Tribolium castaneum: one gene and its partner. The protein of the gene in region 1 purifies or fractionates together with the protein of each later gene. This does not show direct contact. Links are inferred from orthologs where the notes say so. Each region holds a gene or a part of one and is shown on either strand. Other genes may lie near its edges.

Region 1 (8,924 bases):
CTCCTTTATGTTGGCCGTCCTGCATCTGCAAATCCGTCGTTACTTGTCGTGAGTTGCATTTTGACTTTTCCAATCCTCTGGTCAATAAAATCGCGAATTAATTGAGCTAACTGATAAATATTTTCTAAGGAAATGATCGCGCGCCAAATATTTTGATGATTCATTGCGAAAAAATGCGCGATTTTTCGTATTTTCGAATTATGAACCAGTTTCTGCTAATTATCGTCGTTAAATGAACTTGTCTTCGGAAGAAATACGAGTGGACAGCGACGTGGTTTTAAGGGCAACGGCCACGTGTGTTTATACATAAGAAAACTCAGTTTTTGATTTGATGCCAATGAGTTCAAGATCTGTTATAGATGATATGTTCCGGGGCTCCAAAATGTGCTATTTTTAAAACTTTCCACGAATATTCCCATATAAAGTACGATTTAAATAGGAACCCACAGAATGATTCTTAAAGTAGACCGAAAATAAATAAACGCAGAGCCCACGTCTTGTGAATCACGATTGATACAAGAGAAAAAGTACAAATTATCAACAATATTGGGCAAAAATTCCCCAAAATGACAATGTTTCTATTTTTTAATAAGTATGGTTTTTGCGAATTGAAACACCTATATATTTTCATAGAAACAGTAGTTATATGTCTCTAGGATCCTTAAAACTGTAAAGAACGTTAAATTTTTGGTTTTGATTTTTTAATAACACAATTCGGAACTTGAAACCTTAAACGGTTTCAAAAGGCATTTTAATTGTTTTTTATTAAAAAAATTCATAACTCGAAAACTAAAATCTGTAGAGCAAAATAGCGATTGTTCCAGCGGATTCTACGGTTCATGTTGCGTATGAGGTTCCACAAAATTTTAAATTTTGAAAGTTTTTGTGTCAAATTAAAAATAATAATAATAATAATAATAATAATAATAATAATAATAATAATAATAATAATTTTTAAAATTTGTTGCTTTAACAAAGTTTTATGGACTCTTCTATGCCTTTAGAACCCTCTCGAGTTTTTAAAAGAGCAAAAAAGTTAATTGCTTCGATTTTTTTAAGTTTGGTTGTTCTAATGTTTGTCAAGATATCGCTTGATTTTTAGTTCCCGGAACATTTATTGGGTAATAGCTCTGGAATTATATTAAACGTAACTCTTAAGTTTATTATCGTTGGAAAAATCATTGTTCATTAATAGTTTTAGAGAAGATTGCAAACAAAGCCAAAATAAGTAAAATAAAAAAAATACTTTAAAACTATTGAGAATCTGGCTATTTATTTGACGCCAATCAATTCCCCGGATCATCCTACGTAGGCTTATTACATCAAAATAGTTCCACTCTCAAAACCGATTAAAACCCATCCTATCTTTTTGAAGTGCCGTTTACAAAAAAATAAGACGTTTTTTCTAGTTCATTTAGTTTCGCCGTAATCAGGGTTTACCGTCTCGTAGAGCTTTTTAAACCGGTTCAAATAGAACTTGACATTTTTTGATAACACCAATAGTTTCGTCGAAATCGATGCTTGAAATGTCAAAAAAACAAAATTTCAACATATTTTTGGTGTTTTTCTTGGACACTATAAAAGCAAAAATCAAAAAAGTATCATAATGTGGTTGACATTATCTATCTTGTGAAAACCCGGAGCAGCTCCGTGCAACGGTTCCGACTACAAAGACTTTTTAATTTTTTTTACTGAAAAATTTATATCTCGAAAACTAAATCCATAGAGAAAACGGTTTGTTATAACTCGAAAACTAGAAGTCATAAAGCATAACTGTTTGTTCCAGCGATTTCTACGGTTCGTTTTACGCATTATTACCAGAGTTCTACAAAATTAAAAATTACAAATTTAAAAAAAAAAATTTTTGTACTTATAACGTTTAGAGAGCTTACAAAAAATATTGTACCTAACTTGTTTGTAAAGCATTTTTTCACATTCGCACTTCAAAAAAGGCAACCGCTTCGATTTTTTGTTGTTTGATTTTTCTAATTTTTGGCGAGATTTTGGTCGGTTTTCGGAACATTTATCGGACAATAACTCCGGAACTAGTAGACGTAATAATAACCCATTAAGTTTACTATCGTTGGAAAGCTCTTTTATTTATCTATCTTTGTCAAAAAAGCAAAAAAGATCATTGTTCTGTGACTAACAGTTTTCGAGAAGAATACCTAAAATGATTAAATAATGAATTTTTCGTTTTTTCTAGTGAAGAGGGACTGGTGGCCGCGTCTGAAGTTTCCCATGCGCCCCCAGCGTGTGGAGGTGGAAGGCGCCCAACTCCACGTCCTTGCCCCCGCAACGGGCAACCAAACGTCCCTCCGCGTCCAAGTGACTCAAATTCTGAGTGCGCGACGTCGTCGCGTTATCGAAGAAAAACTGATCCACCTGTCGCCAACTCTGCCAAAATGGTGCGAATTCGAAGTGACAAGTGCAGTGCAATCTTGGCTGAACGGCGAGAGGAACCTAGGTTTAGAGTTAGTTTGCCCCGAGTGTAGAAATAACTACTTGAAGCCGCTGCAAGCCGCTGTTAGTGCTTTAGTGCACCCCGAACACAGACGCTCAAAACGCGCATCCCCTTACCAGTCCCTGCGTCGGACGGACTGCAGGAAGCTGCGGAAGGGGGCCCGGAGGGTCTGCTGCCGGCACGACATGGAAGTGACCTTCTCCAAGCTGCGGTTCATCGAAATGGGGTCCATTGTGCAGCCCAAGTCCTATGACGCGGGGTTCTGCCAGGGACAGTGCCCCCCTAACTTCAACTACGCAACCAACCACTCCCGGATACAGAGTCTCCTGCACCAGATGGAGTGGAAGACAGGGAAGAGGAACCGCAGGGCGGTCCCCAAGGCCTGCTGCGCCCCCTCGAAGCTGGAGCCCCTCGAAATACTGAGGGTTAACCCCAGCGACACCACGAAACTTATCGTGGAGAAATGGGATAATATGCAAGTGGTAGAATGCGCGTGTTCCTAGTACAGACAATGCCAAAGACATTTAGGAAAAATTTACGGGTCAATTTAGCATTTCTGCATCAATTATCAACTCTTAAGTTACTGTGATATTAATTGTATTCTATTTATCGATCATCTCTCAGTTATTTATAATTTCTCATCTAAAGTAGCCTAAAAGTATTATTTTAACTCATCTTTTTATATTTAATTTAATGTTAATGTATTGATGTACTGATGAGTGATGACGTTTACCAGTTTTGCACACTTTAGTTTTATTTCACCCTTCCCTTGACACGAATCGAATTGCCTTTATCACTACTTTCGATTTGTTGTGTTGTAATTCTGATAAGAAAAGCTATAAATAGTGTAACATTTTGCAATGGCGACGAGCCAGGTGAATCAAGAGAAAACTATATTTTTATTTTGTTTACTAAATTTTTCGCATACAAGGGCAGAAACTCAGAACCAAAAAACACAAAAATTAATTCTCTTCGCTTTAACCTTGTTTTTAATTTTTGCAAAAAATAGTCTTCTACTACGGCATCATTTTGCTTTGGAAATTTTAAACCAACAAGCCGCCACTGATAACACTGGTCTGCAAAAAAATAATTTTTCCCTTCTATCCGTAATTATGATTATTATAAATTTCTGAATCAAAAAATAATAACGAAAATTATGTATCACATAAACTTTTTTTGTAATAGATTTTTGTAGAAACCATTGGTCTTACTTGAAAATTTAATGATTGCGACAATCATTTACAACAAACTTTCCAAAATACTTAAAATTATTAAAAAAAAATTCTGTTGTAATTTCTTTCCATTCCACAGTTTTCATTAAAGTTTCAACCAACAAAAATGCTGTCTGACAATCTTCTGGTTATTTCCCGTTGTATTGTCTCTCATTTATCTTGATAAAACATTTCTTCATTTCAACACTTTGTTTTCAATTTTGTTATGTTATTTGTTAAAATCTCAAACTGAGAAAGTAAGTCGTTTGTTAAGGTAGTTTAACTAAAATAAAGCTCTGCTTTCGTGAGAAATTGAAAAACTATAGCATTATAAAGTAAAAACATTAAGAAATTGGAAATCTAAAATTATAAGATAATGAAACCAAGAAGACCTAAAAAATTTAGGAAATTAAGAAACTAAAAAGCTGAAAAATATTGAAAAAAATAAAATTTGTGTGACTGAAATAATAAGAAAGTTTGAGATTGCAAAACTATTAAATTGAAATATCAGATGTTTTTCTACCAAAATGAAATCCTATTTAAATTAGAAAGTTTAAACACAACTTTATAGAAAATAAGTCAATTTAGGAAATCAAGAAAAATAAAATTGTGTCAAATATTGACATTTTTCACGAATCAGAGTTACTTTCAGTTTCAAGAGAAGCCTTAAAAATTACGTGTTATAGAAGTTTCCTAAGATACGGTCTTTATTTATAGGGAGAAAAAAATTTTGGAATATTTTTTTTCAATAAAGTTTTCAGCTTTTTTACCTTCTCATCAACTAAAATCGTTCGGTAGTATAAAAAAGCAAGTAGTATTAGGAATCTGAAATATTTAAAAAAAAGCCGCTCAAATAAATCAATCTGTAGAGGGCAGCACGTCCCGCCCCGAACCGCGCTGTCAGTGTAGAATCCTACATCTGATTTTTTCTAATGTTTATTTATATTTTGTTGTTATAACAAATTTAATTTGTGTTTGACCGCAAAAAACTTTTGTCTCAACTGTATTTTTATTTGCCTACTAGTTTTGTAAAATCATGTTTGAGAAGTGCTGAAGCGTTTGCTTTAAACTGTATAATTTGAGTTTTTCCCTATTTAGGTAAAAAAATAATGATTTGCAATAAAAGTGGGAAAGCCAATGATACATCTTAGGATAATTAACTCCAGGTAAGTGGTGATGATCTGCAAAAATTATATAACATAACCTCACATTATGTAAGCAAGGTAACGATGGTTACTCAACTTTTTTCGAATTAATTTTTCAAAAAAAAAACACTCCATTTTTTTGACTAGTGAATGGTTATGATTATGAAAGTTTGTGGAGGTGGGTAACTGATAAGTGATAATATTTGTCGCCACGATGATAATATTAGAAATATATTTTCTAAATATATATATAACCATACACTAGTCAAAAAAATGGAGTGTTTTTTTTTTGAAAAATTAATTCGAAAAAAGTTGAGTAACCATCGGCTTACATAATATATATTACAGAAATAATATATATATATATATATATTATATATATATATATATATATATATATATATATATATATATATATATATATATATATATATATATATATATATATATATATATATAAACATAAATTTACGTTAAAAATTTATTTAATTTAATAACTTAACTAATTTTCTAATTTAACTATTCCTATGTTGGGGCTCTTAAAATTTAAATATTAATTTAGTTTATATTTAATTGAGTTGCGCCGCTACAGAAACCTGTAATTCAACCAAGGATGGAATAACGGTTCAACTGCAACACACGAGGGGGAACCCTTGTACTGATTTGTGCAAAATATTCTGTGGAAAAAAATAAAACAAAAAAAGGACGGTATTTTGGAACACTCTGTACATCGTTTTTTTAATTTGAATTGACATTTGAAATGTCAGATTGAATTCCTTTATATATATTCTTTTATATTTTCGTTTTTTTTTTTAATTTGAGGCCAATGAGCCAATCAATGCCTAACACAATTTTAAAAATGTAAATGTAAAATGTAGACCCAAAACGACGATCTTTTAAAAATATGGCCTTTTGAAAAAGTGCTACTTAAAAAATGACAAACGCAATAATTATGTTTTTCAGAAAGCAAATTATCTTGATTCCATATTTGTGTTGACCTGTTTTTTTAGCTCAATTTTTAACTTTAGATTTTTTCTTAAAATTGAATGTTCTATCACCTGTTTAAATTTGTAACAATGAAGACGGAACACATTAATTATTATTGTTTTTCTTTTCCATTTGTATGGATTGTATATGTATTGTACTGATTGTATATCAGTTTTATAATTCTTCTCATTTTTTTAGTTTATTTGTATTTCAGGTTTTTAGTTTCTCAGCGTTAATGCTACTTACTTTGAATGTCAGTTTTTGAATGTAACTTTACTTTCTAGGGGGAAATAATAGTTGTATATTAAATTATTTTTTAACGTTGCCTTTTAATTCTGAAGATTCACAAGGACTTACAAAAGCACAACATTATTTTAATGTGGCCATTTTAACAAACGACTTACTTTCTCTCTTTTAAAGTTTAGTAAATAGCATAATAAAATTAGTTAGTGACAAACTAAGACTTACAGTGAGATGAATTCTTACAAAAAAAACTAACGAATTTTACACCAGTAAATTCAAAACAATTTAGGTTCAACGATTATTCTTTATTGCTTTTCTTTGTGCAACAGAAAATTTTAAGTTTTTTCCAAAACATATTTAGTTTTGTTTGCAATAAAAATTGTGTTTTTGGTATTTTTGCTGTAGAAATGAAAAAAAAAATGTATACTAGATTACCATATTTTAACACCTAATTTCTGTTTTTTCGACTTTGTTTGACTTCTAAATAAAGTTTTTAACCTCATAAAAATCCATTTTTTATAAATTTATATCGAATTTATTTTATTACACAAGAATAATAACAACACTCTGTGTCTGTGCAGTTTATAGTTTTTTTGTTGAACAGAGAATGTACATTTATTTATTAATTTTTTTATTTAATTGTGGACAAATGCTTAACTCACTTTAAAAATTGAAATGTAAAACAGGACAATTTTTGAACGATCGAAACTCTAATTAAGTTGTTTAATTATTTTATTGTTTTCACAGTTACTTCAATAGTCATTGAAAAATAGCATTGCATTTGTTGATATAACCTAGTTTTTATTTGTTTATTAATTACTAGCCCAGCCTGCAAATGAACTAAGTTAGATTTAACGAAAACATCGCAGCGGTACTTTTATGATTTTCGATCAACGATCATCCAGAGTGAGAGCCACTTATCAGTTGCAGTTTAAAAATAACCAATCATTCCTAGCCAATTTATCAAATGAGCGACGTTTTATTGAAGGAGTCGTTAATTTTCTATTCGATTATCGAGTCCCAACCCCAGCACTTATAGATGTGATTGATCGGTTTTCAATCTGTAATTCGAAAATGCCGAAATTTCTAATTCAATCAGCCCGTTTTGTAATTTCGAGCATTGTTTGTTACAAGGCGGGAAAAAATCCGATGTTGTTTTAATAAGCGTCCAGATAGTCACGGAGCGTGTCGGGGCAGTTAAGTGGACAGTGGTCATTTTACGCAACCCACCCCCAAATCAACAAAATCGCCCGACATCTGGCCTCTTCACGGATCGTAAACTTAACAATCACGAATTGTTGTCGATTCTAAATCAGATTTTTCCATTCAGAAATGACGTTCGCATATTTATTTTCATTATTGTTTTCGCCTAATGGCGTCAATGCGGCGATTAGTGAACTTTATGAATTCATAACTTAGTGTGAAACCCCAAAGAAAAGGTGCCGATTCGAATTTGAATTTAATTGCGACGATTGAACACTGGACGAACCCTTCTTACTTTACATTTGACACAATTAAAACGCTCGACTCGAACCGAGGGGTCGTTTTTTTGGCATTTTGCATTATTCGATGACATGCTCTTGACATTTGTATTTATTATTCTCTGGATTTAAACGGAACAATATATTTTAATTGCGGGGCACTTTCGAAAATATTAACCACGCTTTAAATGCGAACTTCATTTACATTAAGCAAACACCAAGGCCTGGAGTGAATAATCGACTTTCAAGAGGATGATCGCGTGCCCAGTGGTCAACTGCTCCCTAGGGGACCCTGCCTTTAGACCAACTGGGCCTAACACTAAATCCTTCCCATTTGTAACCAATTCGAACCAAAAATTAATCGCTCTGATTGACTCCCAATCTAATTCATTATATAATTTTATATTATATTATATTATATTATATTATATTATATATAATTTTCGAGCGTTTTAGTACATTTTTCGGTCAAAAACTCATAAATTTGACATACATTTGTTGAAAGTCGAAAATGACATTTTTTTTTTTTATTAGCTGTATCTTGCTTTTGAACGAGGAATTCAATCTTTTGGTCTGATGGGAGGATTTTTGTTAAAACATTCTAAAAAAATGTCCACATTACGTCACTTTTTCGTTTCACCCAAAAATTTAAATGACATTACATTGGCTTTTGTGATTAGATTTGTTTTTTTTAGTAATAATTCACTATGTACCTTCAAAGAGGTGAAAAAAAAATTTTTTAAAGTTAAAAGTCCACAAAAAGTCCATATGTTCGATTTTTTGATGTTTGATTTTTTCAATTTTCGTCGCAGTTTTTGTCGGTTTTGGGTACCCGGAACATTTCTCGAGCAATAGCTCCGGAACTATTAGAGATAACTCCATGAAGTGTATTATCGTTGGAAAGCTCTTTAAATTATCTATTTTTTTCAAAAAAGATTATTGTTCTCTGACTAATAGTTTTCGAGCAAACTGCTGCTAAATGCAAAAATTGGTAAAATTTTAAAAAATTCATAACTAAAAAACTATTGGGAATTTGGCAATTTTCTCGATGCCAATCGATTCCCCGGATCATTTTGCATAGGTATGGATCAAAACAGTTCCACTTTTTAGAATAGTTTAGCCGTAAATGATAAAATAAAAAAAATTAAAAAAAAGTTAACACCCCCCCCCTTAGAAATCGGTCAATTTTAAAGTGTCTCAAAATCAAATAAAACCAATTCTATTTTATAGATTTCGATGTGCTCTTTCCGATCTAAAAAAGCGTTTTCTCCTAGCTCTTTTAGTTTGGCCGTAATCGGCGTTTGAAAATTGAAAAATTTTTTGCGAGATATCGCCTTGAGTCCTATGCCATTTTGTAGAGTTTTTTATTCCGGTTATCCTCCATTTTTCCGTT
Region 2 (7,723 bases), on another chromosome or scaffold:
ATTCAAGCATTAGATTTTTTGTGTACGTTAGTGTAACGTACTTGGCCCCGGATTTGAGAAAGAGGTTCACCCACATGAAAGGGTCGTAAAATTCGGCGGTAAATTGCTGGGCAAAGTCTTGGTAAGTCCAGTCTGGAGGGTAGTTTTTCTTAATAAACTCGACAGTTTTTTCGTCACCCGCTGGAAGCAAAAATTTTAGTTATTATAACTGGGGTTTGTACCTACATTCCCAGTGACTCCAAAACCATTCGCTCCCGAAACTGGGCACTGAGTAAACACCCCAGTGGAGGAAAATCCCGACTTTGGCTTTGTCGTACCAGTCGGGCAAAGGGCGACCGTCGAGGCTGTCCCAAGTTGGTTCATATTTTGCACTTGAGGCAAATTGTAATCCACACGAAAGTAACAACGTGAAGATAACGGTTTGGACCATGATTGCACCGTTTGAACCACTGTTGTTTGTTGTAATGTTTTCTACTTGTTCTCAACGAGCGATCGGTTGTTATCAAAAATATAATATTGTTTTCTTATCTGTAAGAGTCTTGTTTGTTTCATATGCTAGAGGCAAGAAATTAACTAATCTGTGCAGGACGCAGGGATGGAGTGGAATTCTTTAAAGCTTAAAAATGCACGTCCCATCGCTTTGTCTAGTCTAGTTACATTATTTTTGTTTAGTTAACCTTCGTTAATTTTTTTGCGTCCTGTTTTATTAACAGGATTACTACTATTAAAAAAAAAGATCGAGATGAATAAACTTTGTCCATTGTTGACTTGCTGAGTCTTGTTGAAGGAGAGTTGCTTTGGTAAGCTAAATAATACGATATTCTAAAAAATGGTTTTATTAAAATATAAATTACTGAACTTAATTTAAGATAAATGTTGCAGTTGTGCCGTCTTTTATTTTTTGATGTTTTTATAATTTTGTTGTCATTAGTCCATTCGTACTTCGACACATATCTGTCTTGCAGTCAACTTTAGCAACTTTATTTTAATCAAAATCATTATTTGTTTAACTATTGCTTTAACGGGTACACGTATTTTGTGTCGTAAACAAAGAAACTTTGGTGTTTTCAAGAAAATCTAACAACTAGGGTTTTCATCTCAATTCTATATTTTTTATCATATGTTGTAAAAGCAGAAAGTAGGATAAGGGTATTCCATTTTAATTTTTCAAGTTTCATTGTAAAATCAAAAAAATATTTGTAGTCCCTGAAACTACTACAAGCTCTAATGTAGTGAAGATTTTATATTTTTTTAGATACAATCGTACCTAGTAAATTTTTAAAAAGTTTTTTATGTGAAATTATTTTTAAAATTGAGCAAATCTGACGAATTAACACTTTTGAAACACTGTATTCTTGAAAACAAGCATTCAAAGTTCCATAATTAACTTCACTAATTCGCTGGGACACAAGTGATACAAAATTGAGACTGCAACAGTAGGTAAAAAAGGAGGCAGATGATCGTAAGTCAAATGTTTCTAAAACGCTTCTCCAATATGCAAATGTTATTTTAACGTAAATTTAAGATAAAACAAAAACTTACACTGCTGGGATGGTGGAATGTACGTAAATTTACTACTTATTTGGATTGATTATTGCTCTATTTATAGCCCTCTGCTCACTAGCGATTTTTTAATAGACCAATTTAAATGTTACCCAATGAAATAGTTAACTGTGCGCTCTGCACTTTTAGCGACCGATATGTTTGTGCTTTTTAATTTTCTAACATTGCAGAAAAATGAAAAACAAACGTGTGGGTTAATGCCATTACTAGTCAACGACTGTTTAAAGGACATTTTTTTTTATAAATTCTTTGAAATGTCAACGAACATCCTGAAAAATTCCCCTGATACGTCTATTCCCAACTTGCAGTTTGTTCTTCGTATCACACTAGTATTTAGAAGTTTGTCAGTTACGGAAGATTCTTCTGTAAATTATTTCACCACTCAAGGGTCTGTTCCATATGGAAATACGAAATAAAAGATGCATTTTTACTTATTATACAAACTAACCGGGCAAAGTGTTATTTATTTTGTTATGTAATTTAACTTGAATTAATTTTTGTCGTCGAATAGATTTGTTACAAATTTAAAAATTATTGGAAAAACTCTTAGGGCTGTGGTTATGGTAATGGAATTTTAACTTATTTTGTTACTGAATTAATAAAACAACGTTTGGTTTTTAGTTTTTATTCAAAAAGAATGTCTGAACTTTCAAGAAACAATCTTCTTGTACTGTTCTTTAACTTTCTGGACCATTGTATCTACATACTTACTACAGGTATCATATGCATTTACAAAATTGTCGGAATTTTTAACATAATTCACAACATTAAGTGTAACATTCCCAGTTTTGTCATGAGCAAACCTCACATAACTCCCCACAGTGGTTGCATAAACCTTCAAATTAGGAGACAAAGAATCAACAGCCTTGTAATACAAGTCTACACAAGAATTTTCAATAGTACGCGTACGTTCATATTTTACAGAAGTTAACACAAACAGAACCGACAAAGTAAGAAATAATAACGTAAAAATCAATTTAATGAAAGAGGACGCTTTTCCAGTATTCTTCGGCGAAGGTGGCGCTTTTTTATTCTTTTTGTTCGCTAACTTTGGCGGGTTTTCTTTAACAGGCCCGTTTTCCTTTTTCTGTTTGGTCTTCTCCTTCTTTTTACTCTTCTTGTTGTTATCCATTTGTTTCTGATTCACTTCAAGCTGCTTCTGTCGTTGCTTTTGCCGACTTTCTAAATCATTAGCGATCTGCTCCTGCACTTGAGTGAAGAAACTCACAACATCCTTTGCACAACTCTGACACTGTTTGGCGTCCAGACAAGGCCCTGCGACTTTGGCGACCGCTGGCACCAAGGGGTTATCTTTCAAATCCAACCACTTCAGAGCCTTGAACTTGTGGAAGCTCAGAGGCAGGTATTGCAGTTGGTTTTGGTACAAATCAAGATACTTAAGCTTGACCAAATCCCCGAAATCCTCCGGTAGCTCGCTCAGCTGGTTCTTGCTCAGATCGAGCTTCGTTAGGTGGGTTAGTGTCGCGAAGTTGCCCTGGAACGCAAAAATATGGCGAAATTGTGCCTTTTCGAAGCAACGATTTGGCGCTTACTGGCAAAGTTTTCAAGTGGTTGTTTGATAGGTCCAAGCTGGTGGCCTTCTTGAACACTGCCTGCAAAGCAAAGGGGCGTTTTTATGTCATAATTAAGGTGGAAACATCGTTACGATTTCTTTAACAGGAACATCTTGTAAATCTGACATGCTAAGGTCAATTTCTCCATCAGAAACGCGCTCTTTTACATTGATTTTTGACGGTGCCATTGCAAATCGTAATAATCTTACGAGTTTATGTTATCAATTAATAGAAAAATAGAAAACTAACCAAGAATTGAAAATCCACGTCACTGCTCCACTTCCACGAAAACGCAACTGTCAACGTGACAATCGCGCAGTGGTGCCAAAATCGCTCGCTAAGTCACCAAAGGCAGGGAGAAAGTGGCGAAACCAGTTTCCTTTAGCCCAAATTATTATGTAACACTCATTTTGGGTCAAAACGTATTATATGTGCAATAATTCAAGAGTGAAAATGAAAGTCGATTAGTTTTAATTTATTAGCGATGTTTTGGCAATCCTGAGTGGTTGCGTCAACGTGATGCGCATTTTGTCAAAATATTGTCATTTTTAATTGGCAAAATATTTCGGAAAATTTTGCGTTTCATTAGTGCTTTCCACCGATTTTTGTTTAGTGTTTGTGTAAGCGGTTAAGTAACCACGTTACATGACCGTATTATGGTGCATATATGAGGTGTTGTTACGGTCCTGAGTGAAAATTTCAACCCCTACATTCCATGGGATCTTACACTTCGAGGAGAATGGAAGAAAATGATCTGAACTCGAGATCTGGGTCCGAAGACGATTCTGATTACGAGACTGAACATCAGTATGCAGCCTTGCTGCAAAGTTTGATAAATAGGTGAGAGAATTCTTCCATGAAAATGTCATTGTACTTGCTGCTAAATATAGTGTAAAATTCAGGCTGAATTATTTATTTTCCGCGACAATGAACGATATTGATTTAACGTGTACAAATTACATAAACAAACCCGGTTTTTTTTCATTGTTTGTTACGTTTTTCCTATTATTTTGGTCAAAGGGGTAATAAATGTGCAACTTTTTCAGTGGTCAAGTGGAGATTATGGACGCAGATTATCTCACAGATGGTCCCAAAGTGCCAAAAATTAAATTTAAGCCAAACACTTCCATTCTTGATGTAAGTAATTTTATAATTTTTATTTTCAGACTGAGTACTACCTAGTCTCCGGTAAATCCCCTAAACTTTTTATGTATACTACATTACTACATTTTACATTTTTTTGTTTTAATTTCCCTTTAAATAAAAAATAGTTAGCTTCAAAATTTTCATTTCCTTTAGTTGAGGCTTTCAGCTAATTCTTTAAAGAGATTATTTCCCAAAAATCTCTATTAATACATTTATACAGGGTCGCTAAAAAGTATGGATACAGTTAAATATTTTCAGAACGGTTTAACAGAAAACCTTGAAATTAGGGAAACAGTTAAAAATGTTTAAATTCTATCATTTGAGAGGTTTTTTAAATCTCTATCGTCATTTATTTTGAAAATAGAAGGCTAACTTAATTTTTTTTAATGGCACGAATATCCACCTTTATTTTTATTAAAAGGTAAAAAAATAAAAATTCAAAAATTCATTTCTGGATTTCTGGAAAAGTAGCTTTGAAAATACTGTTATTTGCGATCTGACATTTGTATATTAGCCAAAAATTAAACTTGCGTGCAATAAATAGGTTAACAATGGTACATTTAAGTAAAACTGAGGGAAAAAAATTCATGTTGGTTGCTCATGGCGACAGAATCCCAAGAAGTTTGTTGGAAACATTTTGAATATTTTTTAATTAAAATGTGTTCTTTTTCAATTATTTTAACAATTATTTTTAACTTTTACCTATTTTAACTCAGAAAAAAATATTATTTAAAAATATTAAATATGACCCTTGTTGCCATTGAAAAAAATCAAGTTAGCCTTGTAGAATTCATATACTCTTAAGCATATACCAAATTTCAATGAGTTTTGATAATAGTTTTTGTTATTCAATATCTTAAAAGAAATGGAAAGAGTAAATGAAAAAATTATAGCTCATATTTATGTAGAATGTCGTTTTTTACGAAAATAATAATGGTTGAGTGTAAATATCTTTGAATTCTTTTTTTTTAGTCTTCGTCCTTTGCCTTTAATTTTGGAGTTACGTTAATATCGGAGTATGAGTGCATGTTTCATCATTAATTATTTGTTTTAAACTGCATTGTAATGGGTAGTTTATACCTTTGTTTGTTGGAGAATTAATGAAATTCTTGGAAGAAATTTTACCAGATAGGTGTACACGCAAATGACATCATTTCGTCAATGCTCTCTTGCATCGGTTTGCAAAATTGCTGAGTAACGTTGTTTAATCATTCGTTTTTTATCAACATTTTGAATGATACGGAAGAAAACAAAATAAACACAAAAATCTGATCTAATATACGTTTCTAATTGTTTTCTTATTATTATTTTAGAAAAGCGAATTTTCATTGTCGACCAAAATGGCTTCAGGTTTAGGACAACAAAGCCGAAAAATTACGTCTTCGCAGAATATATCAGATATGGTTTTAAATAGAGAAGTAAGTTATCTGGCAATTTTAAAAGACCTGACTGTCATAATACAATTTTAGAAAGGCGTGTGTTCTTATAGGAACTTTTCATACGCCGAAAAATGTAGACTAAGCAATAGGTTTTTGCCAAATAGTATGTCGGTGTTGTCTTTTTACAATGGGAAAGTGTTTTGTGGTATTTTCTCGAAAGATGGGAAAATGTTCATAACCGCGTCTCAAGGTTTAACAGATTGGTTGTTTTTCCCGAAATGAGTTTGAAACATTGCAGATCGACAAATCCGATTATACAAGTCGGACGATGCGTCCTACAAACTGTTCAATACTCTGAGTGCAAGAGACATAGGTTGGAGTATAATAGACGTTGCAATAAGTCCCGACCAGAACCAGTTCGTGTATTCGACTTGGTCGTCGTCTTGTAAGTCTCCCCCTGTGGGGAAAAGTCGTGATTGCGTTCAATTCTAGTACATTTATGTTCCGTGAACGAGAGCAGCCACCAGGAGCCCCTCTCTCTCACCAACACCAGTCGCCGTTTCTGCGTCTTTTCCGTCGTATTCTCGTCCGACGGCAAGGAGTTCCTGTGCGGTGCCAACGACGGTTCCTTGTACATTTACGATCTCCAGAGGCGCGGGCGGACGCTAAAGGTGAATAAGGCGACACTTGCGTAAAAATCTCCGACTTGCTGTTTGTATATAGATCCCAGCTCATGAATATGACGTTAATAGTGTTGCTTTCGCTGACGATTCTTCCCATATAATTTACAGCGGTGGAGATGACGGTTTGATTAAGGTTTGGGACAGGAGGACGTTGGATGAGTCGTCGGTTAAACCGGTCGGAAAACTGGCCGGACACATGGACGGGATCACGTTCATCGATTCGAGAGGGGACGGAAGACACTTGATTTCCAACAGCAAAGACCAGAGCATTAAGCTGTGGGATGTTAGGATTTTCTCCGGGGAAAGGGCCGCCGAAAAGTCGCTCAAGGCTGTGCACGAGCAGACGTGGGATTATAGGTGGCAGCAGGTTCCTAAAAGACGTAAGTAAACATTAACTTTGTTGAAGAATCTCAAAACAGAATTTTAATGTCGAAGCACAGTTTGGGAGAATGTAACAAACAATACAGTTATTGAAATCTACGTTACTCAAATTTTTATTAAGGGAAAACTTCGTTTAAAAATCAATTTAATACTTTAAAATCATCTGTAAATTTATAAGTATTTCTTCAGAAAAAAATGGGACAATTCTTTTAGTCTGGTCTGCTATTTTTATTTCGTAGTTTTACGTTAATGAGTGACAATTTTTAACACAATATTTATTTAACAAGCATATCCGTTACTCATTTCGCCGGGTTGTTTTAAATTTTCTGTGAAAAGCATAGAATCTTAAAAATTCAATAATTTTAATAGTGTTTTTTTTGGATTAAGGATTTTTATTCAACAGTTGCTTCATGAACTACAATACCTTATTATTGTTAAATTCTGAATTGAATTTAATATGAAACAATTTCAATCAAGGTTTCAATAGGGTACCTATTTTTGAACTATTTATTAGATTATTTAATACTGATTTAAAAGTTTTATGTATTAATTCAATTGGCTATTGTTATGTATTATCAACGGTTGTGGATGTATTTTTTTAATAATATGTGTGTAAAACAGAACATGAATTGCATTTTTAACAAAAATGGATAATAGTAGATAAATTATATCAGACAAAAGAATGTTTATCTTGTGTATAATTTTATCGCATATTGTGTTTGTTTCGTATTTGTTTCGTACTTACAGGATCAAGCCGTGCATAATAAAAAAATAATAATAATACACCTACGGTAATTGGTCAACTTTTGCAATAATTTTGATCTGAATTATTTTTATGAAAAATCTCTTAATATCGTTCCAAAATATCGTTTTTTAAAGAAAAAAAATTAAAGTTATGTTTCTAAGTAATGAGAAAATTCAACTGAAATGCAAACCTAAAAATTATTTCTCTTAAGCTTACAACAAATATTATTTGCAAATCATTGTTAAACGTACT

What was found.
Region 2: the proteins of Asph (region 1) and leucine-rich repeat-containing protein 59 purify together in Homo sapiens (co-immunoprecipitation; 3 studies listed by BioGRID and IntAct, with this or other methods). This does not show direct contact. The link is inferred for Tribolium castaneum from reciprocal best matches to the Homo sapiens genes ASPH and LRRC59.

The regions. Positions count from the first base shown.
Region 1 is NC_087403.1:497,089-506,012, reverse strand, and holds the start of Asph (aspartyl/asparaginyl beta-hydroxylase), read left to right. Parts: upstream 1-4,629; 5' UTR 4,630-4,841; intron 4,842-8,924. Other genes in the region: mav (bone morphogenetic protein 7), read left to right, coding at 2,207-2,967.
Region 2 is NC_087394.1:31,262,535-31,270,257, reverse strand, and holds leucine-rich repeat-containing protein 59, read right to left. Parts: upstream 3,381-7,723; 5' UTR 3,326-3,380; coding exon 3,230-3,325; intron 3,177-3,229; coding exon 3,117-3,176; intron 3,059-3,116; coding exon 2,213-3,058; 3' UTR 2,173-2,212; downstream 1-2,172. Other genes in the region: alpha-L-fucosidase, read right to left, coding at 42-180, 226-430; DDB1- and CUL4-associated factor 11, read left to right, coding at 3,853-3,977, 4,184-4,274, 5,597-5,701, 5,753-5,912, 5,961-6,107, 6,155-6,333, 6,386-6,725.